Linked DNA regions of Elephas maximus indicus. The protein of the gene in region 2 binds, or shares a complex with, the protein of the main gene of each other region. Links are inferred from orthologs where the notes say so. Each region holds a gene or a part of one and is shown on either strand. Other genes may lie near its edges.

Region 1 (7,630 bases), on a different chromosome or scaffold from region 2:
GGTCACTCTCAGGGGACCTATCCAGATGGCGTCCCCCACTCTCTTCAGGCAGCCTTCGCTTCCTAGGCTGCTCTCTGCTGCTGGGAAGATCTCTCTCACCTCTGTCTCGATCCAAGGACCAGCCATCCCGCCTCCGATCCAGGCTATCCAGTGGCTCATAAGCAGGTACAGCAGCAGCTGCAGTCCGTGTGCTGCGTTCTCGGACTGGGGGTGGAGGTGGGACCCAATCAGGGTCTGGATAAAGGTCCCTATCACGATCTCTGTATAGTAAGGGTGGTGTCCTATCCCGAGCACCCCTCAAAGGGTCAGGCGCCCGATGTCCAAAAGCATCTGTCACCAATTCATAATGAGTCAGAGGCAGGGGCTGCAGATACTGCTGCTGGTAACGATGCTCTGTGTCTGCAAAGTCTACTCTAAGGCGACGATCTGGGCCACCAAGGGGGAAGCCCCGCATATGAGTCCAAGCAGCATGAGCTGCATCTAGGCTTTCATACTGGATATATGCCCAGCTGTCCCCTTTGCGGTAGTCTATGGTGCGTATGGTGCCAAATCGGTCAAACTCTCGTGCCAGGGCAGCAAGAGGCACCCAAGGTCCCAGGCCACCTACCCAGAGGCGGGTAGTGGGTGTAGCTTTACCATAACCAATTTTGATAGGATTCCGAATTATAATTTTGCCAGACATTGCTAGTTTGGCTCTGTGAGACATGTCCAGATTCTCAAATTTGAGAAAACCATAGGTACTGGTTTGACCACGAGAAGGGCGTTTGATGTCTACTTCTGTGATGACTCCAAAGCGATCAAAAGCCCTTCTTAAGTCACTCTCTGTCACAGTGATGTCTAGGTTGCCCAAGAAAAGCGTCCGGTTAGCTCGCTGATCATCCTCAGGTGAAATCTCATCCACTTCTCTGAAAGGGGCAGCCCCGGTTCCAGCTCCCACCCTTGGCTCAAGACTATATGCTGGGCGCACTCGCTCATAGAACGGATAATCTCGGTCTCTCTCCAACTCTCGGGGCAACGGTGGCGGAGGTGGAGGGGGCAGACGGCCAAGAGCCAACTGCTGCAACCGGTAGTCTCTGTATCCCAAGGCAGCGCCACCAGGAGAAAGTGACCTTTGGCCTCCACCTCCTCCAGGGGGGTGCCGGTGACCACCTACAGAGGACCCGACCACGCTGGCCGATGGAGGATAAGAATCTTTGTCTAAAGGGGAGCGGCTGCGGCGCCGGCTCACATACACAGCCTCTATCTTCAGAGGCCGGTCATAGAGCACAAGGCGGCCTCTGGCATGCTTGGCCGCCCGCGCGTCCTCCGGCCGCCGGAAGTTCACAAAGGCTACCCGCTCATCCCCGCTGCCAGAACCCGAGAGGTGACTGATTTTGACACTCACATCACCGAAGCGTTTGAATTCGTGAAACAGTCCGTCCTCCACCGCTTCGTCACTCAGCTGGGACCCCAACTCGCTTATCTTTAGTGTCTTGTATTCCCCGCCGTCTCCGCCGCCAGGAGCTGAGGAGGCGGCCCCTGAGGAACGTGACTCCCCGCCTCCACCCCGGGAGCTGCTTCGCGACTCGCCCCCGCCCGAGGAATTTTTGGTGCTTGGGGAGCTATAACTATGCAGGCGGCTACTGGAGGTGCCCCCACCAGTGTCATACTCGCGGCTGCCACCTCGACTGCTGGACTTGTCCAGGTGAAGGCTCCGCCGCGACCCACCGCCGCTCTCGGTCTTTCCGCTGCTGCTCCCATTGCTACCACCAGAGCCACCTAACTTCTTGCCGCGCTCCCCACGGGAAGTCGAGTCCTCACCACCACGGGAGCGTTTGGCCTTGACTGGCGAGCGCTCTTTTCCCTTCATTGTTGCGGGTCGTCGGAGGTCTTCTCCGCGGAGCTGATTAACCCGCCGCCCCGCGCTCGTTTCACACAGCGGAACCGCACGCCGCCATCTTGGACTCCGCCGCGGCAAAGGCTCCCGCCCCGCAGTCTTCATTGGTCAATTAGATCCTCTCTTCTACAGTCTCATTGGAAAGACTATTTGTCTGTCTTTACATCTCCCGGCGCTCCGGGAAGGCGCCCGCCCAACCACTGTTATTGGGCTCCCAACGCCCTAGTCAGAGTACCTCATTGGTTGTATTCCTTGTCTATCTTAACGGTTCCTCGCGCCAGGCTGTAGCTCCGCCCCTCGCACCCTACGGTCACCTGACCCAAAGTCTGGCGGCGTTGATTGGACAAAAAGTCTGCCTTGTAACGGTACTTCTTGAGCGGCGAAAGCAGCGATCCCACCTCCTCATCCCTTTCATTGGTTTATGATCCTGTCCTTTAACCCACTAGTTGGGAATACGGCCATCGGTTCGGGCGATTTTTCCTCTGAGAGGTAGGCTCACAACGATCTCGCGAGAGAGCTCCCTGTTTCGACCCTCTTCTTCCAACTCCTTCGGCGGCTGACAGAAGTTTAAATCTGATTGGATGTTGTCGAGGAAGTTGATAGGCTGAAATAACTGTCCGTCACCCTCTTAAAGGGGTAGGCCCATATACTGAGGCGGCTGACTGAAGGTGAAAGCCTAGAACCCGCGCTTGCTGGGAGACGTCACTTAGATATCGCGAGATGGTGACCACGAGCCCGCCCCGCCTCCTCGTGCTTTCGGCGTTCTCCCCTCAAACATCTGTTCGGTGCCGAGGCGTACTTGGCGGCACTGCGGCCCTTGGAACTCGAAACTTCTGGGCTCCCCACTGTCCTACCTGTGCCAGACGAGGGACTGGGCAGGCCCTCCGGCTGTCGGGTACCACGCGTGCCTCAGGAAACCATCTCGAGGCGCCCGGCAGGCACCATCTTAAGTCCCTCTGGCCCTACGTGAAGAGCCTGAAAAGGCTCCTCCCCCCTGTGCGCGAGAAGGCGCCGCCCGCGGTCACTGGGGTCCCCGGGGCCCGCCCGGCCCGGGAGTTTACAGTTCACAAAAGTGCCGGGTCGGCCCCGGACGGTCTTCTGATCGGCGCGGGTTCTCGAGGTCCCGCACTTATGGAGCAACGCCGGGCTCTTCTTGGCGCTCCTCGTGTCTGCCCAAGTACCCCGGGTAACCGGGGGAAGTGACCGACGCTCCCAGGCCCACGGTCCGCAGGCGTGGCCGGAACTGTGGGGCCACCGCAGACGTGTCTTTAGGCTTCCTGTTTTATATTGCAAACCCATGTGGATTTTGTACTCTATAGTGCGTGTATAGCTAATCTTGTTTTTATGACTCTCCCCGTAAAACCATCGAGTGAAATTGACGCTCCGTGCAGATTATGTTTGTTTTTATGTGACTCTCCCCGTAAAATAATCGAGTGAAATTGACGCACCGTGTTTTTTTTTCTGTGACTTCTCGTACCGCCCGGCACTCCTGGTTATTCGATATTATAATCCAGTAGCACAGCCACCTTGCTGGTTCTCTAAATCTCTCTGCCTCTCTCAAACATTGTCTGCATCAAAAGTCAACTTTTATCCTTTCCATAGACCTTTATTGTGTCAGAGGAGCCCTCGCAGCACGATGGTTAAGCGCTGGGCTGATAACCGAAAGGTCGGCGGTTGGAACCCAGCCTCCGCTCCTGGGAGAAAGATAGGGCTATCTGCTTCTGTAAAGCTTACAGCTTTGGGAACTCTCTGTTCTATAGGGTCACTATGAGTCAGCATCCACTCGATGGCAGTGGACTTAAATTGTGTCAGACAATAAGGCACCTGTGCAAGATGCTGGTGTGCCAACAAGATTACAACAGGTACAGCCTCTGTTCCTGCGCTCACCGTCTGGTGAAGCGAGGTAGTGCTGAGTTCACAGAGGTTAGGCTTTCTGTAGTCCTCCCAGGTCTCCGCCAGGCAGAGGTTATGAGGATTCCAGTGTAGATGCCCTCTTCAGCCACATCTCAAGATCCAATCAATCTGTTTAAACATGACATTTTTAAGGTAACTATGATGTTACGAAAATCAAAACCTGAAGCTGAAAATTTAAGATTAGGGACTGCAGCATATTTTGCTCTACCTTAGGTCTCCTCTTTCCAAATAATCTTGAGGAAAGTGAAGATTATATTTTTAATATTATATGTGTGTTATAAATATTTGATTTAATGTCTTGATTATATCAAAGAGACTTGAAGCCCATGTTTAAGTGGATATGTAAAGCATAAAAATACCCAGTAAAATAGTGTGTAGATATCTTCATATTAAAACTAGCTACTAAAAATTTCATAAGGTATAAAACTGTATAGTATGCTACCATTTATGGTTTAAAAACGCACGCACATTGCACATTCATTCATAGAAAATTCCTTGACAAATACACGGAATATTACCAGGATTCCCCTGAGGAGAGAGACTGACTGCAGGTCTGGGATGGGAGAGAAATTTCCCTTTTCATTGTAGACTCTTATCTATTATTTTTCATGCTCTTTCAGTTTAAAAAATAGCAATTCTTTCTAGCTTTCCCTTAAAAAATTATTTTTATGGAAAAAGTAAAAAATATGCAAAGGTAGAATACTATAAAGAACCACATGAACTTAACACCCAATTTCAATAATTGTCAAATCACGTCACACTTGTTTCTTCTGTGCCTTCTTCCCAGCTTCCTCCTCTCCCATTATTTTGTTCCGGGCTTACTCGCTGTATTTCCTGCCCCAGACATAGAATCAGCCATTTCTCCAAAGAGTTCTGGTTCCTTTTTGGGGAAAATGGTATTTAGAGATAAAAATCTCAATGCTAGTGGATTAAAAGAATAAAAAGCAGTGTTTATAAAAGCACAAAATGCTCAAAGAAAAAGATTTACATGGTTAAGAGGTTTTAATCTGTTTCAAGGTTGTATTAATACAACACAAAGGAAACAAGCCATTATCTGATTACTCAATGCAATAACCAGTCCAGTGAAACCAGGCTCCAGAGTGACTACTTTTGGTCAAAACTGACCTGCTTAGTTGACTCACTGGTCAAAGAAAAAGATAAGGACCAAATCAGTATAGTTTCCTCTACAGGAATGAGGGAGAGAAATCAAGGAATACTGCCTTGCTGAACAGGTACCAGGATATGTGGCAATGCCTGTCACTCTGCCAAGTTGGTGGCTTGAAATACGAAGGAGCTGGCAGGGGCAGGAAGCCTTGCCTAAGAGGACTGATACGTTGCCTGAAGCCAAGAGGACTGGTAAATTTAATGGTTAGAAAATGTCTAAATTTCATTACCAGTAACAGCGCCAAAATAGTCTGTGATGTGTGTTCGTGTCCATGATAGAACTGAATATGTTGGATGTGTGCTGTAGTTAAAGTGAGTGATTTACTTTGTTTTCATTTCCCTTGTGTTCCTTAAAGCATGAAGCTGCTTGGTGACATTTTATCAACCTGTGTTTATACATGTGCTTTAGGGAGGGCCGAGAAAGGATAAAAGCGACCCATGGTTTCAGCGCCAGGCTTGGAACTCTTTTTCTGGTGTTGGTGATGGAGTTGTTGAAGTCCAGTCCAAGTTTTCATCTGGTCTCCTTGTGATCAGCGGCCAGGTTTGTGAGGAGAGCTAACCTGGGTGAGGAAGTTCTTTCAGTAGTCATGAAGACAGAGTTAAACTACCAAAAAATTCCCAGAGCACCACAGTAGCATGTTGATCTCTCCTTTCAGTGCCCTGCCAAAACTCAAGAAATAATGTTCAAGAAAAGCTCACAGCCCATTTTGGTGTCAGGGTGGCCCCTTGGAGCTGTACAAGGCCTAGAGAACACAGCCAGGCAGGAGAGCAGCTACCATTAGCTTTCTATGTGAAGTACTTTTTCCATCTCCTTTAAAATCAGTTTCAGCTTTAAAAGGAAAAAGCAAAATAAAAGGCATAAACATGGAAGACTACTGTGCAGTTAAAAAATAGCAGAATGCTTTCAATCAATTATCCTTCTTTCCATTCCCCTCCTTCCTAGTTTTTTTTATTTTTATTTTTTATCTTCAATACACACACAATTATGATTGCTATATGAAATTTATCTTGGAAGCTGAGAGCCCTTTGATTTCCTGGCAAATACAAAAAGGACTGGATCTGGGAATTGAAAAAGAAAATTTTCCACCCACAATAGTAGATTAAATTTTTCTGTTTCATCTCCTTTCATAAAGTGAGTGGTCTCCTGACAGCGAGGTTTATTTTATTTGGTGTACAAGAAAGTATATTTTTTTTACCCACAGGCATATATTAAATCCTTAAATCAGCAAACAATCATTTAGAACCCAGTTTGCATTATCAAGTCACTTCTTTGTGTATTTTTTTTTTTTTATGATTTTTATTGTGCTCTAAGTGAAAGTTCTACTCTGTCCTATAGGGTCACTCGATGGCACTGGGTCTGGGAAGTGAAAGTTTACAAATTAAGTCAGCCTCTCACATAAAAACTTACAGACGGCTTGCTACTTACTCCCAATTACTCTCCCCCTAATAAGGCAGCCAGCTCTCTCCCTCCACTCTTTCTTTTCATGTCCATTTCGCCAACTTCTGACCCCCTCTACCCTCTCATCTCCCCTCCAGGCAGGAGATGCCAACATAGTCTCAAGTGTCCACCTGATTCAAGAAGCTCACTCCTCACCAGCATCCCTTTCCAACCCATTGTCCAGTCCAATCCATGTTTGAAGAGTTGGCTTAGGGAATGGTTCCTGTCCTGGACCAACAGAAGGCCTGGGGGCCATGAGCACCAGGGTCCTTCCAGTCTCAGTTAGACCATTAAGCCTGGATTATGAGAATTTGGGGTCTGCATTCCACTGCTCTCCTGCTCCCTCAAGGGTTCTCTGTTGTGTTTCCTGTCAGAGCAGTCATCGGTTGTAGCCAGGCACCATCTAGCTCTTCTGGTCTCAGGATGATGTAGTCTCTGGTTCATGTGGCCCTTTCTGTCTCTTGGACTCATAATTACCTTGTGTGCTTGGTGTTCTTCATTCTCCTTTGATCCGGGTGGGTTGAGACCAATTGATGCATCTTAGATGGCTGCTTGCTAAGAGATAAGACCCCAGATGCCACTCTCTAAAGTGGGATGCAGAATGTTTTCTTAATAGATTTTACTATGCCAGTTGACTTAGATGTCCCCTGAAATCATGGTCCCCAAACCCCTGCCCCTGCTACACTGGCCTTCGAAGCATTCAGTTTATTCAGGAAACTGCTTTTGGTTTAGTCCAGCTGTGCTGACCTCCCCCTGTATTGTGCATTGTTTTTCACTTCACCTAAAGTAGTTCTTATCTACCAACTAATTAGTGAATACCCTCTCCCACCCTCCCACCCTCCCACCCTCCTCTCGTAACCACAAAAGAATGTTTTCTTCTCAGTTTGAACTATTTCTCAAATACTTACAATAGTGGTCTTATACAATATTTGTCCTTTTGCAACTGACTAATTTCACTTAGCATAATGCCTTCCAGGTTCCTCCACGTTATGAAATGTTTCACAGATTCACCACTGTTCTTTATCGATGTGTAGTAGTCCATTGTGTGAATATACCATAAGTTATTTACCCATTCATCCGTTGATGGGCACCTTGGTTGCTTCCATCTTTTTGCTATTGTAAACAGTGCTGCAGTAAATATGGGTGTGCATATATCTGGTCATGTAAAGGCTCTTATTTAGGGTATATTCCATGGATTGGGATTGCTGGATCGTATGGTAGTTAAGCGCCAAATCAAT
Region 2 (7,143 bases):
TCATGAAACATTTAAAAAAAAAAATTGTAGAGTGCCCACATCAAGTTAATAAAAAAAATCCCACTGCCGTTGAGTTGAATTCGACCCATAGCAACCCTACAGGACAGAGCAGAACTGCCCCATAGGGTTTCCAAGGAGCGCCTGGTGGATGTGAACTGCCAACCTTTTGGTTAGCAGCTGTATCACTTAACCAAGTCAATAACAGATTTTCCATTATGTTGGTGGCACTGAATAGATTTATCTGAGGAATTCTAACAATTTGATAACTTCCTAAGGCATATTTAATTTTTGGAAACAGAGTTACTTCTCAGGACCACGTATGCTGTTTGAAGTTAAATAAACAAAAGGCACAAATTGGTGGTGGTAGCATCAGTTGTTATTATCATGGTCCAGGCCTACTTTTTGCCTCTAAAGGCTTCACTAAGCAGACAAAAGTGAATCAAGCAAATCATACACATGTTGTGCTCTAGTCTGATATTTCATCACTCAACAAATGTTTATTAAAATCTTGCTTTGTGAAAGAAACAATCCTGGGTGGGAAGAGGTTACTCAACAGGAGTTACATACAGACTTTGTACTCAAACTATTATAGTCTATGTGACAATCCACAAGTGCAAACGGTTAAGTGCTCGACTACTAACCAAAAGGTTGGTGTTTAGAACCCACCTAGAGGCACCTCATAAGACAGGCTTGGCGATCTGCTTCCAAAAGGTCACAACCTTGAAAACCCTATGGAGTTCTACTCTGCATACATGAAGTCACCATGAGTCGGAATCAACTCAATGACAACTAACAACAAAAACAGGACAATTCACACAATATGTAGTAGTGGACTCGACAGTGAGGTACAATGAAAGCTCAAAGGAAGAAGAGCCTAAGCCAGGGAGATCAGAATAGGTTCCAACACCAAATTCTAACCTAACTGGGCCATGGAGGATGGATAGAATTCAGAAGGCAGGTAAGAAAAAGACTTTAAAAATAATAATACTAAAGCATAAAAAAGCATATAGTGCACAAATCAAGTTCTGGAGAATAATAAAAGCAATCTATCTTGTTCATACAGAGAAAACTAGGCAAAAGACGCTCTGCAATTTGTTGGTAAAGTGGAAGTTTGTCACTGATTATAGTGGAGGCAGCTAGGTGTACTGGAAAGAGCCTGGCAAGGCCTAAATTAAAATCCCAGCTCTCACATTTACCAGCTTTGGGGCCTTGGGCAAGTAACAATTTTTTTTGGGGGGGGGGGGCTCTATTTTCTTCATCTATAAAATTCAGATAACATCTGACTTGTAGGATTGAAGACATATAAGTACACAGCTTAGCAGAGAGTCTGACACATAGCTGGAGGGGATTTAATACAGCTGCCATTATAAAACTGTAGTACTATGTAAGTTCTTTGTGGGTAGGGACTATTATTCATAGTTGAATTGCGAAGGCCTACTAGAGCTCCTGGAACATAGTTAAAGCACTAACAAATTGTTCTATGAATGTATTTTGAGCCAAATCTTCTAGAGATTTGAATTCAAAACTGAGGAGTAAAAACTACTGGTGGCAACAAAGATCTACTGAACATTTTGCAGACAATTATGATTAAAAAAGTAGGGAAAAAGAAGGCTTAGAAAGGATGCCTCATTTGTTCAGGATGGTACAGGACAGGACTAGATCTGATTCCAAATAACATGTTAAATACCATATCATATGTCTTTTCATCAGCTTTTAAAAGACAGGTTTCAGACTTCTTGTAGCTAAAACCAAAATTTACTATTGAAAAATAACAGCAAGACACCTCATTTTACCCATCACTTTTACTAATCTGAACAGCAGAATGGAAAACAAACCCTCTGATTTTACATAAAGGTAGCACCATCTGTATTTTCTGCAGGGTCATTATGAGTCGTAATCGACTCGATAGCAAAAGGTTTGGTTTTTGGTATACTCTACTCATCAGCAAGATTAGTATGGTCTTATGTACTAATGTACTCACACACAAGAAGCAGTGAAGGAGAGTGGTTTAGAAGGTAAGCTTTGGAGAGACAAACCTGGTTTCAAATTCTTGGCCCAGCTATGAGTGAGTCGGGGCAAAATTACTTGACCTCTGGAGCCTCTGTTCTGTTCTCTGATAAGTGAAGAGAATAATACTACCTATTTCATTGGGCTGTTTTGACTGACAGAGAGTAAAAATTTAAATACTATTTTTTTATGGGTGATGATGACGCTAGTATACGTTGCTCAGTGGCCTGCAATACACAAAATGTAGAATCTAATGTTTACACTTAGGCTCCTTTCAATGTAGTCTTTAAAGTAGATACCCCCGTCCCAAAATACACCCATTTCACAATGAAGCCACAATCTCAGGATTTAGGTGTTGATTCCGAGAAAAAAACAAGACAAAGAAGAGCACTTAAAAAAAATTAGCAAAGCGATATTTAAGGAATAAGTCACTTTTCATTGCATCAACTGTGATAACTTATTTACAAAAACCAAAGCTTTATATCCCCACTATCAAGCACAGTGCCAGAAGCTTGGAAGGCATTCGATAGATGTTGCTGAAGATCAATCGTGGCGTCTAGTTTAACATTACTACACACACAGCGGCTGGAATGGGAAAAAAATTCGGGGCACAGCAGGGGTTGAGAGAACAAGGGGAGATCCAAGGGTCAGGGTCTCCGGATCAGGAATGATCGGACAAGGTGAGCGCTGACAGGACGAAGGGCAGGGGAGGGGGAGAGGGCGGCCGCGCACGCGCATTCGCGAACCCTCCCCGCATTGGCCACCCCGGGCGCGGACCTGCTGCGCGAGGAGCTGTCGCCGTAGCTTCTGCCGCTCCCGGATCTCCTGCAAGCGGCTGTCCATATCCCAACTCCTGTTTTCCACTACCCTGAAAACTTGCCAATGCGTAGATTAACCCCCGCCCAATCTTTCTTCCAAGTCTATGGAACACAAAATTCGCCAGGGACTTCAGGCGGGCGGGTAACCCCTAGCCTTTTCTTCAAAGGGCTTTCCGGCTCGGCCGGAATTGGCTCCGTTGTACCCGGAAGTCCCGCCTACAATTTGACGCTACTTGGAAGGGGCCCAATGAGGGACGGGGCACTGGGGGAGGGGTCTCGGAAGCCTGATAGGCGCTGTGAGCAGCGATGTCAGGTCCCGTCTCTGGTGTCTCTCTTGATATATCCACGCCTCTTCCGATGTGAGCTCTTTTGTTGCTTCTCTTTTCCGTTAGTTCCCCAGTTACTTTTAAAACTTGTTACATGTAGTATCTGCTTTTTTACTGAGAGAGCAGACTCCGGCCATATTGCCTTGAACCTTTTCCTATTACTAGCTGGGTGACCTTGGCTGGTTAGTCACCTCCGTAAATCTGTTTTTTTCGTTTGTAAAATGGGAGTAAATAAGAGTGCCAGCCTCATGGAGTCGTTGTGAAGACTGAAATAATGAACAGTTTGTATAAATAGTAAGGAGGCGCAGAGCGCTATAGAAGTGTTTATTATTATTAAGGTTGTTGTTTTTTACTTTTCCCTTCTGTCAGTGCTCTGCACACCTCACTGTTGTTAGGTGCCGTCGAGTCGGTTCCGACTCATAGCGACCTTATGCGCAACGGAACGAAACACTGCCCAGTCCTGTGCCATCCTGACAATTGTTGTTATGCTCGAGCTCATTGTTGCAGCCACTGTGTCAATCCACCTCGTTGAGGGTCTTCCCCTTTTCCGCTGACCCTGTACTCTGCGAAGCATGATGTGCTTCTCCAGGGACTGATCCCTCCTGACAACATGTCCGAAGTATGTAAGAGGCAGTCTCGCCCTCCTTGCCTCTGAGGAGCATTCTGGCCACACTTCTTCCAAGACAGATTTGTTCATTCTTTTGGGAGTCCACGGTATATTCAATATTCTTCGCCAACACCACAATTCGAAGGTGTGAATTCTTCTTCGGTCTTCTTTATTCATTGTACAGCTTTCACATGCATATGATGCGATTGAAAATACCATGGCTTGGGTCAGGTGCACCTTAGTCTTCAAGGTGACATCTTTGCTTTTCAACAGTTTAAAGAGGTCCTTTGCAGCAGATTTGCCCAATGCAATGCGTCTTTTGATTCCTTGACTGCTGCTTCCATGCCTGTTGATTGTGGATCCAAGTAAAATGAAATCCTTGACAACTTCAGTCTTTTCTCTGTTTATTATGATGTTGTTCATTGTTCCAGTTGTGAGGGTTTTTGTTTTCTTCATGTTGACGTGCAATCCAAACTGAAGGCTGTGGTCTTTGATCTTCATTAGTAAGTGCTTCAAGTCCTCTTCACTTTCAGCAAGCAAGGTTGTGTCCGCTGCATAACGCAGGTTGTTAATGAGTCTTTCTCCTATCCTGATGCCCTGTTCTTCATATAGTCCGACTTCTCGGATTATTTGCTCAGCATACAGATTGAATAGGTATGGTGAAAGAATACAACCCTGATGCACACCTTTCCTGACTGTAAACCAATCAGTATCCCCTTCTTCTGTACAAACAACAGCCTCTTGATCTATGTAAAGGTTCCTCATGAGCACAATTAAGTGTTCTGGAATTCCCATTCTTTGCAATGTTATCCATAGTTTGTTATGATCCACACAGTCTAATGCCTTTGCATAGTCAAGAAAACACAGGTAAACATCTTCTGGTATTCTCTGCTTTCAGCCAGGATCCATCTGACATCAGCAATGATATCCCTGGTTCCACATCCTGTTCTGAAACCGGCCTGAATTTCTGGCAGTTTCCTGTCGATATACTGCTGTAGCCATTTTTGAATGATCTTTATCAAAATTTTGCTTGCATGGGATATTAATGATATTGTTCTATAATTTCCACATTCGGTTGGATCACCTTTCTTGGGAATAGGCATAAATTTGGATCTCTTCCAGTCAGTTGGCCAGGAAGCTGTCTTCCATATTTCTTGGCATAGACGAGTGAGCACCTCCAGCACTGCATCTATTTGTTGAAACATCTCAATTGATATTCCTTCAATTCCTGGAGCCTTGTTTTTTGCCAATGCCTTCAGAGCAGCTTGGACTTCTTCCTTCAGTACCTTCGGTTCCTGATCATATACCACCTCTTGAAATGGTTGAACATCGACTAATTCTTTTTGGTATAATGACTCTGTGTATTCCTTCCATCTTCTGTTGATGCTCCCTGCGTTGTTTAATATTTTCCCCACAGAATCCTTCACTATTGCAACTCGAGGCTTGAATTTTTATTTCAGTTCTTTCAACTTGAGAAACGCCGAGCGTGTTCTTCCCTTTTGGTTTTCCATCTCCAGCTCTTTGCACATGTCAGTATAACACTTTGTCTTCTCGAGCCGCCCTTTGAAATCTTCTGTTCATTCTTTTACTTCATCAATTCTTCCTTTTGCTTTAGCTGCTCGACGTTCGAGGGCAAGTTTCACTAGCTCTTGAGATATTGCCTGTTGTTACCATAATGCACTTTATGGATTCTTCCCTTTAGAAAAGAGGGGTTGGCGATTGTACAGTGTGCCTTGGTTTGTGTCCTAGATAAGACCCCTTTTTCTGCCTTGCATTTATCTTAGCAGAAAATAACCCTGGGATATGGAAATAAATACCCTGGTGGGGAGGGGAGGTGATTCTTCTCTCTTAGGAAGGCAGCAAAGACCAAAGTCTTACTAAAAACTTTAACATTGTTATTCACCACGTTTGTCATTTTGTTCCAAACTCAAGTGGCCAAGGTGGTTTAGGCATCCTGTTGCCTCAAGTTTAATTGGAACTTGTGGCAAGTACTTGCCAAAATAAATAACAAAGTTTATTCTTTGAGAGTGGATTTAGTTTTTTCAAATAATGATAAATCTTCCAGATCAAAACCAGGTGAGTCAGGCTAGGCCCAAAGTGGGCAATATTAGATTCTAGTAATTTATCACGCATTTCATGTGTTTTTTAAAAAATTAGCTTTAAAAGGAAATTTCAAAAGCGGAGCTCTAAAAATTCCTTGAGTAATGGGAACTATTCTATAAAAGATAATATGTGTGTAGGAGCCCTGGTGGTGCAGTGGTTAAGCACTCACTGCTCTGCAAGAGAAAGATGCGGCAGTCTGCTTTGGTAAAAATTTACAACCTTGGAAACTGTATGGAACAGTTCTGCTCTGTCCTATAGGGTCATAATGAGTAGGAATCCCCTCAGCGGTGGTGGGTTTGGATTTTTTTTTAAATTTGTATCTATGACTTAAAGTATGTTTCTTTAAAATTCCATTGTACTACTTTGCATGCCAGTCATTTAAGTTGGGTACTGATTTCAGCTATTTATCAATGATGGGAATAGGAATTTTCACTAAAATACTTATTTGATGTTTATTGACATTTTACATGGCAGGTACTTTGATAGGTATTAGAGTCAAAGACTGAAGACCAAGTAAGTCAAATTCTGCTTTCTGATGATGGTGGGCTAGGAATCTACAAACTACATTTTTCAGACTTCTTTGTCAGATGACTTCCAATAAAATTCTGCCAAGAGGAAGCACAGATGGAGATAAGAAGATGGAAGGTGGGGAGAAGCTATTGTTCTTCACTTCTTTTCCTGCTTCTGGCATCCCTGGAAGTGGCTGTCACTTCTTACAGAGTTGCAGAACCAGTTGCTACTTCTCCTCCTTGGCTGTCCTGTCTTTCCTGAATCAACTCAATGGTAACCTTTGGTTTTGTTTTGGGGTTTTTTATACCCCCAGTAGTGAGTGTGCTCTTGGGCTCTGATAATATCACCCCTTCCCTCTGTTTCACCAGTTTTAGCACTAGTAGCCACTTCTTGCAGTCAAAAATGTATGGTTTAATCTCACCTTCCCCTTTTTGTTTTTTTAGCCTTCAAAAACAAACCAAACCAGTTGCAGTGGAATGATTCTGACTCAGGACAACCTCATGTGTGTTAGAGGAGAGCTGTGCTCCACAGGGATTAGTATGGCTGTTTTTTCAGAAGTAGATTGCAATGCCTTTCTTCTAAAGCCTCTGGATGGACTTGAACCACCAACCTTTCAGTTAGCAGTGAGTCCATTAACCATTTGTACCACCCAGGAACTGTCTAGCCTTCAACACCTGTGTAACCAATTCTCCATAGTAAATGTTGTCTGTTTCAAATACTTTAAATGACTTCTGTTTTCCTGACTGGACCCTGGGCTGATAAAGATGTAAAT
Region 3 (8,020 bases), on a different chromosome or scaffold from region 2:
CTGACCTTTCAGTTAGCAGCCGAGCACTTAACAACTGCACCACCAGGGCTCCTGTCCTACTATTGTTGCTGTGTGCTGTCTAGCCAATTCCTACTCACAGTGACACTATAGGACGGAGAAAAACTGCCCCATAGGGTTTCCTAGGCTGAAATCTTTTTTTTTTTTTTTTACTTGTACTTTAGATAACAGAACAAGCTAGCTTCTCATTAAATAATTAGTACACATATCGTTTTGTGACATTAGTTACCAACCCCACGACATGTCAACACTCTCCTCTTCTCGACCTTGGGTCCCCTATTACCAGCTTTCCTGTCCCCTCCTGCCTTCTAGTCCTTGCCCCGGGGCTGGTGTGCCCCTTTAGTCTTGTTTTGTTTTATGGGCCTGCCTAATCTTTGGCTGAAGGGTGAACCTCAGAAGTGACTTCATTACTGAGCTTAAAGAGTGCCCGTGGGCCCTACTCTCGGGGTTTCTCCAGTCTCTCTCAGACCAGTTAAGTCTGGTCTTTTTTTTGAGTTAGAATTTTGTTCTACATTTTTCTCCAGCACTGTCCAAGACCCTCTACGGTGACCCCTGTCAGAGCAGTCAGTGGTGGTAGCCGGGCACCATTAGGTCGTGCTGGGCTCAGTCTGGTGGAGGCTGTGGTAGTTGTGGTCCATTAATCCTTTGGACAAATCTTTCCCTGTGTCTTTGGTTTTCTTCATTCTCCCTTGCTCCGAGACCAGTGGAGTATCTTAGCCGGCCACTCGCAAGTTTTTAAGACCCCAGACGCTCCTCACCAAAGTAGAATGTAGAACATTTTCCTTGTAAATTATGCTATGCCAATTGAGCATTGTTCCCCGAGACCACGGTCCCCACAACCTCAGCCCAGTCATTCGGTCCCTCAGGGAGTTTGGATCTATCTATGGAGCTTCCATGACCTTTAGGCTGAAATCTTTATGGGAGTATTTTGCCAGGTCTTTTCTCCTGCGGAGTAGCTGGTGGGTTTGAACTGCAGACATTTTGGTTAGCAGCTGAGTGCTTAACTCAGGACTTTCAACCGGTTCGTTCTGGTTCACCTCCCTCCTGGGAATTTGCATTTCTAACAAGTTTCCAGGCAGTGGCAGTGCTGCTGGTTAGGGACCAATTCTGAGCACCATACATGAGAATTTATCATACATGAGAATCACCTGGGGACCCTGTTAAACTAGATTGTGATTCAGTCTGTCTGGGGTGGAAATGCAAATTCTGAGCAGGGGTTCAAATCTGAAGGAAGCTGTTCAAAGCCCTGGCTTAACCATTGCACCACCAGAGTTCCTTCCTCCTATCACCCAGTGCCCAGTGCCCTCGACTTACACTAAATTTTATCACATGGTTCCGGTGATGGCCACTAGATGGCTCCACTATACAAGTGTACTTTCCTCTTTATAGTCAAAGGAGTAACCTGTGGGGCAATACTTGGGCGCAACTTGGATATTCTATTTCCCAGCCATTTTTCACCAAAATTTTGATCCATTGGTAATCCTTGCCTAAATCAAATATTTCATTGAGGGCTGCATAATGGTTATTTTCTAATTATATCATTTGTTCTACATTTATTAGCTGGCATCCTATTGTAAAGGGTTTTTTTTCTCATCCACTGGGGATGAACCTAGAGCTTTGAGCCAGTTCCTTCTGGTTCGAACTCCTGCTGAGAACTGCATTTTTAACAAGTTCCCAGATGATGCTAATACTACTGGTTAGAGACAAAAAAAAAAAAAAAACCCATTGCCGTTGAGTTGATTCCGACTCATAGCAACCCTACAGAACAGAGTAGAACTGCTCCATAGTTTCCAAGGAACGCCTAGTGGATTTGAACTGTTGAACCTTTTGGTTAGCAGCCGTAGTTCTTAACCACTACACAACCAGACTTTCCACTAGTAGAACAGTGACTCCCAAATTTTATCATATATAAGAATCACCTGGGGAGCTTGTTAAAGTGTAGATTGTGATTCAGCATATCTGGGGTGGCAAAGGAATTTGCAGCAGGTGTTCAAACCGGTTGAACTAGTTCAAAGCACTGCATGAACCACAGATCTCCAGGTGTTTTAGTTACCTAGTGCTGCTAAAAAATTCCGACTCATGGTGACCCTGTACTGCTGCTACAACAGAAATGTCACAAGTGGATGCCTTTAACAAACAAATTAATTTTCTCACAGTTTAGAAGGGTAGAAGTCTGAATTCAGAATGCTGGCTTTAGGGAGGCTTTCTCTCTCTGCCGGTGCTGGAGGAAGGTCCTGGTCTCTTCTGAGCTTCTGTTCCTAGGCAATCTTCATGTGGCTTGGCATCTCTCTCCCCCCATCTCTGCTGCTCACTTGCTTAATTTCTTTTATATCGCAAACGAGATTGACTCAAGGCACACCTGCCTGAAACAGTCTCAGTTTTAGCATGGAAAGTCCAGCCTCACAGGAAAATCTTTAGTCCTGGGCAAACAGGGACAGCTGGTCACCTGAGTACTTCTAGCCTCTTTCAGTGTACAGAACTAGAAATTTTATTTTTTTAATCATGTGTTCAAATTGATATTTCCAATTTAACATTACGGGACTTTTCTGAACTTTTGACATTGTATCTTTTTTTTCTTGTACTGAAAAAAACCCACCGCCCTGGAGTCAATTTGGACTCATAGTGACCCTATAGGACAGAGTAGAACTGTCCCATAGAGTTTCCAAGGAATGCCTGGCAGATTTAAAGTGCTGAGCTCTTGGTTAGCAGCCATAGTACTTAACCACTACACCACCAGGGTTTCCTCTTGTACTCAAAGTCTTTTTATATAACATTTTATGTTATCACACAACACACAGTTTCAAAGGCACAGTAACAAAATTACAACTACAAACCACTGAGTGAAGCTGAAGATTCCCTTTGCTGTTCTTTTTCACTCTTAGAATATATCCCAGCAAAGACATACTGTGGGAATGCTATGGTCAAAAGTCCTGGGGGGGGGGGGAATCCTTTTCTCTTTGTAACAGTTACCACCAATTTGAAGTTAGGTTCATTTGTTTCAACTAGCTTTCAATTTGGGGGTTTACTTTGTTTCCTGTTTTACTTTTTAACTATGTAAAAATGTTAGAAGTTCAAAGTCAAGAGATGTCTTGCCTCTATCTCTAATCCCTTTACTTCCTACCTCCCCCACCCTCTATAGATAACTTTTTGTTAGTTTCTAGGGTCTCTTTTCAATTTTTTTTTCCTGCAAAATAAAAATGTGTATGTGTGTGTACAAATGCCAGCCAGTTTCCTATTAATGGACACTCAGGTTATTTCCAAACTTTAGCTATGATAAATAGCACTGCGGTGAATGAAACCTAAACCAAACCTGTTGCCTGGGAGTGGATTTAGACTCATGGTGACCTGACACGTTACTGAGCAGAACTGCTCCATAGCATTTTCTTGCCTGTAATCTTAACGAAAATAGATTGCTAAGCCTTTCTTCTGCAGTACTGTTTGGTGGGTCTGAACCACTAACCTTCAGTAGTCCAGCACCAACAATTTGTTGTTTTTATTGGCGGAGATGTATCTTCAAAATAGTCCCTGGGTGTTGTAAAAGGTTAATGCACTCAGCTGCTAATAGAAAGGTTGGAAGTTTATGCCCACCCAGAGGCTCCTGGGGAAAAGGGTGTGGCGATTTAGTTCCGAAAAATCAGCCACTGAGAAAGAACCCTGTGGACCACAGTTCTACTCTGACACACATGGGGTCACCCTGAGTCACAGTGGAGACCACGGCAACTGGACTGGGATCTTCAGGATAACTTTAGGGTTAGAAGTGGAATTGCAATAAGGATAAATGTACATGTACTTCTGGTACTCCACAAAACATGAATCATTTTCCATTCCCAGTTTCTCCACAGACTTGTAACTTTAAGGCATGTGACTTCATGTGCATTTTTATACATGAGGCTGAGCATCCTTTCATGTTTAAAGACCATGGCTGTTCTTTTTCTATGAACTGCCTGTTCATGTCTTTACCCGTTTTTCATTCAGGACTTTGGTCTTTTTCTTTTGTTTTTAAGAGTTCCTGTAATGTAGTTTGAAAATATACTCTCCAGTCTGATCTGATCTGCTGGGAATATACCATGACTCCTTTAACTATCTAGGGTGTACTTTAAACTTAGCCTCATAAGACACTTCATTCCAGGACACCTTCTTCGGGGATCAAGAGTTTTGGTAGAGCCAGCTATGAGCACACCAATCAAAAGAACTGCCTGACCAGTCTTGTGTTTGACTATTTCAAATCTTCCAGGTAACCACCGTTCTAACTAAATAGGCCAGACGCTTAAGGAATATATTTACATTACAATACTTATTTCCTCGGATGCACTAAAACCTCACAGGGCTCGCCTTGCCCTCGTTTCTGAGCTAGCAAGCTGCCCCCAAAGCTGCTGACACCCGCAACAACCTCCGTCGGCTACAGAACAATAGCTCCTCGGCCTCTCCCCCAGGGATGTCAAGGCGGGGACGAACCAAACGGCCACGCGGCTGCATTACACGATGAGAGAAGGGCATCGGTCTCTTACGGCCTCAAAACAGAGCGTGAAGTTTAGCGGTGCCGATTTCCCTGCCGGCGCTCACACAGCTGTCCGCCGGTAGCCTCCCTCCTGAGCCCACACCTGGCCGCTAGCTCGCGGAAGCGTCCCCAAGCGGCGCTGACACCCAAGCCGCGCTGACACCCAAGCGGCCAATCACCGCGCCGCCGGCGCCAGATCCCTCCGCGGAGCTACGCCGCACCCGCAGGTGGCAGCGGTGAGCGCGTCCGCCGCCGCCGCCGCGACCCCCGCCGCCCTTCCCGTGATGCTCCGCGGCTGACCCCCAGCCCCCGCCGCGCCGGCTCCCTCCCCTCCCCGCCCGGACTCCGGCGGCCGCGGGACACCTGATAGAGCCGGACGGGCCGCGAGGGAGAGCTCTGCCGTCGGCGCCTCCAGGCCCAGACTCCGCCGGGGCCGCCGCTCCTCGCCCTTCCTCCCGCCGGCGGGGCGGCGCGGCGCGGCGGGCGGGCGGGCGGGCGGACGGTGCAGCGGCGCCCGGGAGGCAACCTGTGGTGAGCGGCGCGGGCGAACATGGCGGCGCGCGGCCGATGGGGCGGGGCGGGGCGGGCGGCGGGGGCGGGGGCCGGCCGCGCTTCCTCCCTCAGCGCCATTTTGTGGCAGCGAGACCCGCAAATAAAGGGGCGCGCGGGCTGCGGCGGCGGAGGAGCGGCGGGGCCCGGCCGCCGCGGTGCGAGCGCGGCCTCGGCCTGGGCGACGGGCCGCCTGCGGAGGTAGGTGCGGCCGCGGGCGCTGCCGCCGAGCCCGAGGTCGGGGCGCCGGCCTCTCCGCCGCCCGGCTGGGGAGCGGCGCGCAGGCCGGGCAGCTCGGGGCCCGGCCGCTGGACGCCGGCCTCCCTTGGCGCTGCCCACTTGGCGCCCCGAGGCCATTTCCCCGTCCTCGCCGGGGCCCGGGCGCGCGGTCGGCACGGAGCCGGGGCCGCCCTGGTCGGACCTCCCGCCTCCCTCGGCCATTTGTGCCGGGGGAGAACCAGCCTTGGCTCTTGCAGCGCGCATCACGCAGTAGGTCGTGGCTGCAGGGACAAGGTCCGGGAGGGTTCCATTTTTAATGATTGGCATGCATGCTGGGTAAGGAAACAGTTCTTTATTGAATTATTTCGAGATTTTAAGTCTCACCTTGGATTCCCGGAAGAATGTTACTAAAGGATCTTTTTACCATTTTTTATGAGTCAGTGGGGAACATATAGCAGAAAAGCTTAAGTTCTTGTTTTGGTGATAAAGGAAGTTAATTGGATGTTTGATCCCAAAGGAATTATGTTACAATCCGAATTTACCGTGATTATAAAATTAAAAAACGATTATTTCGCCCGAGGTAGAAAAATATTTTGACTAGCATGTTATAATCTCGAGATGTTTTAATACCTGTTTTATTGTTTTCCGTGCTTTAGAATTTAGTTAATTGCATTGCTGAGGAAGCCACTGGTCTATCACCCCCATTAAACTAGGTGCGAAAGTCTTTTTAGGATTGCTAAATTTCATTTATTTAATCGTGTTATTCACTAACATCTGATTAGGCAAGTTGGGGATAGAGATTGCAGCCCACAGCATGGCTTGCCGACAAAGTCGATGCTGAAATTTAAGGTTTGGGTAGGTGTGTTTCTAGAATGCTTTTGGATCTTGCCTTATCTTGAGCTGAAAGCTTAATGATTGGGATTTGCACACACACCTCAGTGGGGGGAGGGGAGCTTGAGTCCTTAAGGACGAAAGTACTAATGCTAGTGTGTCCCAGGCACTGCCGATTTTTACCTGGCTCATCTAATATTTTTTCATCTAATTTATAGAAATCCGTGGTATCTAGCTTTCCTAATTTTGAGTCATGTTTGCTCAAAATACTTCGGTGTTGTGTTGGTCAAAAATGAGTTGGTGTATATGTAGAAAACCTATGGTAATCTGATACTGAGATGAGTTGTAATAATTACATTTTTATAGCACATTACAGCTTTCAAAGTCCCTTACAGTCTTGCATGTATGTAGTATAGCATTTGTTTCAGAATATTGTTTACTTAGTAATCTTCACAATTTTTATAAGACCAAACCCAAACCCATTGCCATCAGGTCGATTTTGACTTGTCCAACTATGTATATTATTATCTTGGAGTCCTGGTGTCACAGTGGTTAAGAACTCAGCTGCTAACCAAAAGGTCGGCAGTTTGAATCCATCAGCCGCTCTTTGGAAACCCTGTGGGGCTGTTGTGCTCCACGCTGTAGGGGCGCTATGAGTGGAAATTGACGTGACAGCAGCAGGCTTGTTTTTGGTTTTTTATGGACCACCTTAAATTTTGTTTGTGGATTCTTTAGCAGAACAAAACCTACCTTTCTTAAATGGACGTTAAAGTTGCCTTTTATGTTTTTATTAGTATTTTTTTTTTTAGAAAAATCCCTTGTTTGCGTAGCATTTTTATGGCATTGCAAGTGTTGAGATTTGTAGCACTTTGTGTGGTAGGTAATATTTGTATCTTCGTTTTAGCTGATGTGGAAACCGTAGCCCAGAGAGGTAAGTGATTTGCTCCAGATCACATGGCTGATAGATACAAGAGTTAGTAAAAGATATCTTCCAGTTCCCAAGTGGTGTCCTTTCTACTACAGTGCCAAGCTCCTGCAGGACATTGGCTTTTTCTGTTCAGTTGTGATAAACTTCAGCCATCTACAGACTTCTTATTGAAGTTGCCTTGGCTGGTCTGCCTTTCTGTTGAGAGAGAAGAGCCAGGGAACTTTTGAGATCTGGGATGCGAGGCAGCCAGCCAACCAAAGCTGGACTCCCATCCTAAGCTGTTTCTTAGTGTTGAGGCATCAGGAGTAGATGGTGGTTCTGACATTCTACACTTGAGGTATATTATATCTGACTAAAATAACAAGCCTTTATGTAATTTTAAAACCATGTTTTAACGAATTATCTTCAGTTGCTCAAAGGTAGGTAAATTGGCTAGCTTTGATTTTTTTTCTGTTTTGCTTTTCTTTACCTCCATTTTCTCTACTTCAGCTAGCTAAATCTAATCATTATTGGGGATAGGCAGAGTGGGAGAGTTATCATCTTCATCGGTTACTTATTTTTTATCGTGGTAAACATATAGGTAACAAAACATTTGCCACTTCAACAGTCTTGGCATGTGCAGTTCAGCGACGTTAAATATGTCCGTTATGTTGTTCAGCCACCGCCATTAACCGCTCCATCAGTTACTAGGTCTTAAGAGGCAGAGTCCTAACCGCCGATTTATTAATGAATAGCTGTTTTAACCTGAGATAATCACCTAATAACTCAATCATTTTATCATCTGGAAAATGGAGGGTAACATTGATTTTGAAAAATTGTAATTGAGACTCATAAGCACTTCATTTTTCATTTCTATATTCTTCATTTTTTCCCTTCAAGATTGAACTCCAGATACCTGTTAGATTAATTTTATTTCATTTCAGTTATTCCATTTTTGTGATCTGAATTCTTTGTTAAAAAGTAAAGCTAGACACCTA
Region 4 (7,114 bases), on a different chromosome or scaffold from region 2:
CCGCTCACGTGCTTGTTTAAAAAAAAGGAACGAAGCCTATTGAGCCTTCCGTGAGTCTGGGCCCTGGGCGAGGAAATTCCCGAAGTTTTTAGGGCGAGGTTAGAGCCCAGGGCAGAGCCCAATTCAGCATGCACTGGGCGGCACAAAATCCCACTTCCGCCCGGAACGCCCGGTTGCCGGTAAGGCCACTGCCCCTGTCCAAAATGGCGGCTCATCCCACTTCCGCCGCCTCCGCCGCTGCTTCCTGCGGAAGACCCTGGTTCAATCAGCGGCGGACAACTGTCTTGGGCCTAGGGCGGGCGGCGCTGCCAACCAATGGGGAAGGGTAGCGTGGAGCCGACCGTCTGGGCTCCGAGGCCCTTGGGCCAATGGGAGCGCGGCGTGTGGGAGGGCGCGATGGCCACCCACCAATGGGGAGCCGCGGCGCGCGGCCGGGACCTGGAGGCGGTGCAGCGCAGCGCAGCGCAGCGCAGCGGGCGCGGTTAGTCGGGCAGCGGCGGCGGCAGTGGTGGCAACGAAGGCGGAGGATGTGGGCCACGCACGGGCTGGCGGTGGCGCTGGCTCTGAGCGTGCTGCCGGGCAGCGGGGCGCTGCGGCCCGGAGACTGCGAAGGTGCGGCGGGGTCGAGTCCGCGCGGCGTGTCCAGCCTAGCGGCGGCCCCGACACCAACAAGACCATTGAAGGGGCGGGGGCGGCCGATCCCTGCGAGGTCCACCCGAGGAGGGGCAGACACTCCCGGGCCTACAGAACATTGATTGGTCCGACGGCCAAAAGTTGGGACTAGATAGCCCTGAAAACTTGGCTTGAAATTCCAATAACGCTGGAGTTCTTGTCCTTCCCATCACTGGTCAGATGCTCTCGGGAGCGGCTACTCCCGAGTCGGGGCCCCGTGAGTTGGGGTCAGGAAGCTGCACTACGGGGTTCGGTGTTGTATTTGGAAATAAGATGCATCAAGATCGTTTTTCTTCTTGGCCTCCAGCCTGTCCGTTTATGAGGTCATAGATCGTTTGTGGGTCATTGGGATGGTGATCGTACCCCACATGCCCCAGGTGGATCAGGGAACCCCAGCAACTTCGAGCCGGACTCTGTCCACCTGAGAAAACTCGGTGATAGAAACACGAACCTCTAGTGATTCATCTCCGTGCCTCCCATTAGAATTGCTGACAGTTACTTGTTGGTGGATGGGGGTGCCCTTGGTGGTTGCTGAGCATCTCCCTTCCCTTTTTTTTTTCCAGTTTGCATTTCTTATCTGGGAAGATTTTACCAGGATCTGAAAAACAAAGATGTTGCATTTTCACCAGCCACTATTGAAAAAGAACTTATCAGTTTCTGCCGTGAAGCAAGAGGGAAAGAAAACCGATTGGTGAGTAGCTGGTGACCCTCCCAAGCTGGTCCTGGCCCCTGTTTAACCCTTGGCTTCACAGGCCTCTTGAGAAGGCCCCACCCACCTGTGTGCTAGGAGAGCTGTCTGTCAGAACACAGAACCCAAGCACTTTCTGAAGTGTATTCTGCCGTTGAGATATCTTCTCCTCTTAGTATTTACTGAGCACCCACTATGTGCTGGTCACTGAGATTACTGGGGGAGAGATGACAGTTGGACAGACAAACAATGACTGGGCTGGATGCCATGAAGAGAATGGACCCAGGTGGTACAGTGGAGGGGGTGGTACTGATTTAAACAGAGTGGTCAAGAAGTAGCTCTCTGAGGAAGGCTCATCATTGAAGTTGGGGAAGAGCATCTCAGGCAGAGGGAACAGTCATTGCCAGTGCCCAGAGGCCAGAATGGGCTTACCATGTGTGAGGATGGAAGGAGAAGGTAATGAGGTGTAAACAGGGTCAGCCAGGCCCAAACTGAGAGCAAGGGCCCCTAGTGAAGCAGTGGCTTTTGTAGCTTTATTTACTTATTTATTTTTGGGTAGCATGTGGTTTGTCTGTTAAAAAGTTTGAACCCTGGTGACTTTTAAGCTCATCCGGTGGCCATCAGGTCTGGGACCAAACAGGTGTTAAGAGTCTGGAGTTTATACTGGCTTGCATCTGAGTGCCAGTGCAGGCAGGCACCAGGAAATGAGGCCCTGGCAGAGAAGGAAAATGTTCTGGAGGAGATGGCTCTCATGTGACATCTCCTGAAGGCTGTTGTCCTTTCTTGCTGCAGTGTTACTACATAGGGGCAACGGATGATGCAGCCACCAAGATCATCAATGAGGTGTCTAAGCCCCTAGCCCACCACATCCCTGTGGAGAAGATCTGTGAGAAGCTCAAGAAGAAAGACAGCCAGATCTGCGAGCTGAAGTATGGTGAGTGCTTTCCCGGCCTTATTTAACAAACACTGCACAGCTTCTGCAGCCAGGTCTCGTTGAGTTACTTTGTAGTTGAGGGGGCACATCATAAACTAGAGCCATGGTGAGTGGGTTATACGGTATGGTAAACATGTAAACCAGCTGCCATCGAGTTGACCCGACTCATGGCAATCTCATGTGTGTCAGAGTAGAACTGCGTTCTAGGGTTTTCAGTGGCTTGTTTTTCAGAAGTAGATCACCAGGCCTTTCTTCCAGTGCACCTCTAGGTAGACTCAAACCTTCAGCCTTTCAGTTAGCAGCCGAGCGTGTTAACCGTTTGTACCACCATAAAAAAAAACATAGATGGTGCTAAATGCTGGGGGAGGGAGGTGATCTGTTCATCACAGCAGGATGTCAGTGAGGAGGTGACATTTCGGCAAAGCTCTGAAGGAGGTGTGGGATTAGCATGAGGCTAGTTAGCGGATCAAAGTGGGGTGACAGATGAGTGAGCAGGTCTGAAAGGATTTGGGCTTCAAGTCTGAGTGAAGTAGGGACCATTAGAGATTTTTGATCAGAGAAGGAACATGAGCTGAAGACCCATTGTTCTTGTCCACACAGGCATGGCAAGCCCAAGAGTGGGGGAACCACAGCATCTCTTGTTGAGTCAGTCTGGTTGCACAAACATAGCCAGGCCTGTGTTTGAGTATGAAAGAGTCAGAGCCAAGGATAGTTGTCCTCTTCTGTGACGGCGCCAACATATTTTATTATGACTTGAACGTCCATGGGTCTGTGTTTACCTGCTTGTGTCAGGGATGCCTGGTCCTGAGAGTCATCCTGGTAGAGGTCCATCTGGGTCGTGGACACAGCAGTCATGGAGAATAGCTCCTGCCTCAAGGGCCTAACCAGACTGATGTTGGGAAATCAGGGCTAGGAGAGCTACCTGCTCCATCATAGCTTGGTACTGCCATTCTGCAGAGACTTGATCTCTCCTGTGACTGTGAGAGGCACTTGGGGTGGGAGCCGTGCTCCTCCTGTAAGGACCGTGTAGCCTCCATCCCTGTCCCTGGCAACACTGCGTGTCTGGTGGACGCTGCGACATGAGGCCAGCCTTCCTGATGAAGGGGCCTGAGCCTCTTCTCTCAGGGGCAGTGGGCACTGACACACCTGTATGTGTCTGGGAATCTCTCTCCCCCTACAAACCAGGAGGGCCGCATGTTCTAAGGGATAGGTTGGCCTTGCAGGAATGACCTGACCTGGGACTACTGTGGGGTAGTGGCCACTCTCACCAGCCGGTCACTCTCCCTGCTCTCTCCTCCAGACAAGCAGATCGACCTGAGCACAGCGGACCTGAAGAAGCTCCGAGTTAAAGAGCTGAAAAAGATCCTGGACGACTGGGGGGAGACGTGCAAAGGCTGTGCAGAAAAGTCCGACTATATCCGGAAGATTAACGAACTAATGCCTAAATACGCCCCCAAGGCAGCCAGTTCACGGACTGATTTGTAGTCTGCCTGACCCCTGCTGCACTGGAGGGGAGAAAAAAACAGTTCCTCTGTCTCTTCCCAAGCAGCCTTTTTGTAATTTATTTTTTAATCGGGCTCCTGACAATGTCAGGTATGAAGCCTGGAGCTTTCCTGATGATGCTGGCTCGACAGCACCCCTGTGGGGGGATTCACTTCATTCTGTTGCTGGTTTACTCTAGGACTTGAAAGTGTGTCTGGGATTTTTTTATTAAAGGAAAAAAATTTCTAGTTCTTGGAGAATTAACGCGAATATTGAAGTAGGGCTTCACTCCATAATGAGGACCTCGCCAGCAGATGCTTTCCAGTTTGCCAAAAATTTTCTAATATATTCCCACCTGTTCCTCAACCACTAACCAGTGTTGGAAGCACCAAGGCAGGACATGGGCTGAGGCCAGCTGACATGTGTTGGGTCTTGAAGGACTGGAGGGTAGCAGGCCCCCTCCCAGCTAAATGGAGCCTGGGGAGGAGGCTGGGCTTGGCACCCCACCTCCCAGTGTTTTACCCAATGAGAGGGGCTGGAGGCTGCACAGCTGTTGCTGGGAGGGTGCGGGAGTGGGGAGGGGAGAAATGAGTGTGATGAACATAGGAGGGGGTTTGCATTGGGTTCAGTATGAGCAGGCTGGAGGGTACTTGGAGTTTGGTTTTCTCTGATGGTGACTTCGAACGCCGTCTATTCAGTACTGACATTCCTAAAGGTACTCTTGGGCTGGCCACGAACGTGCTTGTCCGGGTCTGTGGTCTGGTGCCAGTTCCAAGCCTCTGATGCCTAACTGGGATTTTGCAAGACCTGCGGAGATTGATTTGAACAGAGGCAGTGGGCAGCTGCCTTTTGCCTTGTTTAACAGTTGAGATTCTGAGGACTTGCCCTCATGGTGTCCCCTGGAGTATGGTTTTTTAGCTGCTGTCTGTGTGGGGTTGGCACTTAGGAAACCCAGCTGCCAGCATGAGCTTGGCTCAGTGGAGGCACCTCTGCTGCTGTAGAGAATGCCTGAAGAGAGAATAAGAAGCAGTGCTTTCCAAGAAATGAGGTCTTTGGTGTCTAAGTTCAGTTTGCTTGAAGGGTGCTTCTTACTGCTTGGCAGTACACCTCCCACATTTTGTAGCTCTGCAATGGCACATGTGAGAGGAAGGGAAAGTTAAGGCACTTCTCAGGGCCCAGATCCCCCTGTTTGGGGGAATTACATGGGCTGTTGAGGTCTGACTAGCACAGTAAGTGTCCCCAGCCCCCCAGAGGTGCTGGGAAAGTGTGGCTGTAGCTGGTGGACTTGTCTTAGGCCACCACCCCAGATCTGATGTGTGCCTGCAGCCTCCGTGTCCTCCAGGCCACACTGAATATGGGAACAGAAAACGGAGCCTCACAGGCCCCAGGGTTATTTGTGGAGAATGTTGGTGTCGCTCTTTTTGGAAGCAGGTATTAAGAGACTATGCACCACTAAAGGTGTCCTGCTCCTACCCCCATCCCCTACTTTCCCCATCAGCCACTCCAGAGGCTGCTTTCTGGTTGGGAAAGAGGGAAAGCCTGAAGTGCAAGTTTCCTCATACCACAGTTTCTGTGGCTGAGGCTGCGTCAGGTTCAGCGATAGCTCCAGCAACAATTCCTGGAGAATGAAAGCTTTCCCAATGGGCTTGGGCACAAGGGAAGGAAAAGAGGCTCTGCCCTACAAGGTGGACAGGAGGGCACGGGCCAGGTGAAGTCAGGACAGAAGGCTCTGCCAAGTGCTGGAACTCCCTGCAGGTTTGGCGAGGCTCCTGTTTTTAGGCTCAGGGTAGCCTTGCCTTTTTAGCTCTTTGTCTGCCGGGAGGCCCAAAGCAAAGGGTGGGGCCCAGTGACGCCAAAGAGTTTATTTCGATCAGTGAAACGAAGGTTTGTGGGTCTGTGGTTTCTATGCCTGAACTCAAGACCGGCCTTGCCTCCTGCAGCCACAGCCATGGGCCACATGACCATTCCTGAAAGCGCTGCAGGTGAACCTGAGTGCGCAGGATGTAGGCTGTGGGCTCCTTCTGGGTAAGGGTATGCGTCAGCCCTCGGGCTGTCAACCTGGACACCTGGGTGGGCAGAAGTCACCGTGACGGGGATTAGGGGCGGCCTTTTTTTCAAGCCTAGTCCCGGAATTCGGGACCACCACGTAAAGAGTCTGCTAGGTCAAGGCCCCGGAATCCAGCACCCACGGAGGCTGCCACTCATGCTCCAATCAGCGCCGGCGACAGGAGACCAGACCCGGCGCGACATGTGAGGCCGACGTCCGGCCGGATTCTCTGGGACTCAAGGCGGAGCGAGTCAGCCCGACTGTCTCCACGGCTCTGATCGCTCTAGGTAGCCCCAGTCTCGGCCGCGTGGTGGCGCCAGAGCGCGCTCCTGGACCCCGCTTACCCACTGGCCGCGGGGGTCACGTGGTACAGACGACGTCGCCTGATGACGCACGCCCGGCGCGGCTTCCTCCCCGCCCGCCATGAGGTCACGTGACGCTGCCGGCGCGGCCTGATAACGCAACGTCCAGCCCCTCGGTGCCTCTCCCGCCCCGCCCCGCCGCCACCGCCGCAGCGAGTCCTTTTGTCCAAGATGGCGGCGCCGGGGGCGCTTCCTCCTCAGCCTCCGCCGCCGCCGCTGTGAAGGGGCTGCGGGCCGCCCGCCCGCCTGCAGCGCCAGCGCCATGAAGCGGCAGAGCGAGCGAGACTCGAGCCCGAGCGGGCGCGGCTCGTCATCGTCGGCCAAGCGACCGCGGGAGCGCGAGCGGGAAGCGGAGGCGGGCGGGCGGCGGGCGGCGCACAAGGCCTCGGGCGGCGCCAAGCACCCCGTTCCGGCGCGGGCCCGCGACAAGCCCCGCGGCAGCGGCGGCGGAGGGGGCGGACATCGCGACGGCCGCGGCGCGGGGGACGTGAATCACCGTGCGAGCAGCGGCCGCTCCTCCAGCTCGGGCGCCGGCGGCGGGGGGCGCGGCGGCAAGGCCTCCGGGGACCCGGGAGCCTCGGGCGCGTCACCCCGCGCGTCCCCGCTGCCACCGCCTCCGCCACCGCCTGGAGCGGAGCCTGCGGGCCCCGGCTCGTCGGCGGCCGCGCCCGAGTACAAGACGCTACTCATCAGCAGCCTGAGTCCCGCGCTGCCCGCCGAGCACCTCGAGGACCGGCTCTTCCATCAGTTCAAGCGCTTCGGCGAGATCAGCCTGCGCCTGTCGCACACGCCCGAGCTGGGCCGTGTGGCTTACGTGAACTTCCGGCACCCACAGGACGCCCGCGAGGCCCGCCAGCACGCCCTGGCCCGCCAGTTGCTGCTCTACGACCGCCCGCTCAAGGTGGAGCCCGTGTACCTTCGCGGCGGCG

What was found.
Region 1: METTL14 (region 2) and RBM15 share a complex: the UniProt entries of both Homo sapiens proteins name them as parts of the WMM complex. The link is inferred for Elephas maximus indicus from reciprocal best matches to the Homo sapiens genes METTL14 and RBM15.
Region 3: METTL14 (region 2) and WTAP share a complex: the UniProt entries of both Homo sapiens proteins name them as parts of the WMM complex. The link is inferred for Elephas maximus indicus from reciprocal best matches to the Homo sapiens genes METTL14 and WTAP.
Region 4: METTL14 (region 2) and RBM15B share a complex: the UniProt entries of both Homo sapiens proteins name them as parts of the WMM complex. The link is inferred for Elephas maximus indicus from reciprocal best matches to the Homo sapiens genes METTL14 and RBM15B.

Annotation. Positions count from the first base shown.
Region 1 is NC_064821.1:170,959,551-170,967,180, forward strand, and holds the start of RBM15 (RNA-binding protein 15), read right to left. Parts: upstream 3,001-7,630; 5' UTR 1,982-3,000; coding exon 1-1,981. UniProt on the Homo sapiens protein: RNA-binding protein that acts as a key regulator of N6-methyladenosine (m6A) methylation of RNAs, thereby regulating different processes, such as hematopoietic cell homeostasis, alternative splicing of mRNAs and X chromosome inactivation mediated by Xist RNA.
Region 2 is NC_064823.1:30,926,367-30,933,509, forward strand, and holds the start of METTL14 (N6-adenosine-methyltransferase non-catalytic subunit), read right to left. Parts: upstream 3,019-7,143; 5' UTR 2,851-3,018; coding exon 2,785-2,850; intron 1-2,784. UniProt on the Homo sapiens protein: The METTL3-METTL14 heterodimer forms a N6-methyltransferase complex that methylates adenosine residues at the N(6) position of some mRNAs and regulates the circadian clock, differentiation of embryonic stem cells and cortical neurogenesis.
Region 3 is NC_064819.1:232,092,486-232,100,505, forward strand, and holds the start of WTAP (pre-mRNA-splicing regulator WTAP), read left to right. Parts: upstream 1-5,016; 5' UTR 5,017-5,047; intron 5,048-5,166; exon of another isoform or gene 5,167-5,266; intron 5,267-5,355; exon of another isoform or gene 5,356-8,020. UniProt on the Homo sapiens protein: Associated component of the WMM complex, a complex that mediates N6-methyladenosine (m6A) methylation of RNAs, a modification that plays a role in the efficiency of mRNA splicing and RNA processing.
Region 4 is NC_064838.1:55,572,217-55,579,330, forward strand, and holds the start of RBM15B (putative RNA-binding protein 15B), read left to right. Parts: upstream 1-4,114; 5' UTR 4,115-6,447; coding exon 6,448-7,114. Other genes in the region: MANF (mesencephalic astrocyte-derived neurotrophic factor), read left to right, coding at 528-612, 1,236-1,363, 2,153-2,294, 3,595-3,779. UniProt on the Homo sapiens protein: RNA-binding protein that acts as a key regulator of N6-methyladenosine (m6A) methylation of RNAs, thereby regulating different processes, such as alternative splicing of mRNAs and X chromosome inactivation mediated by Xist RNA.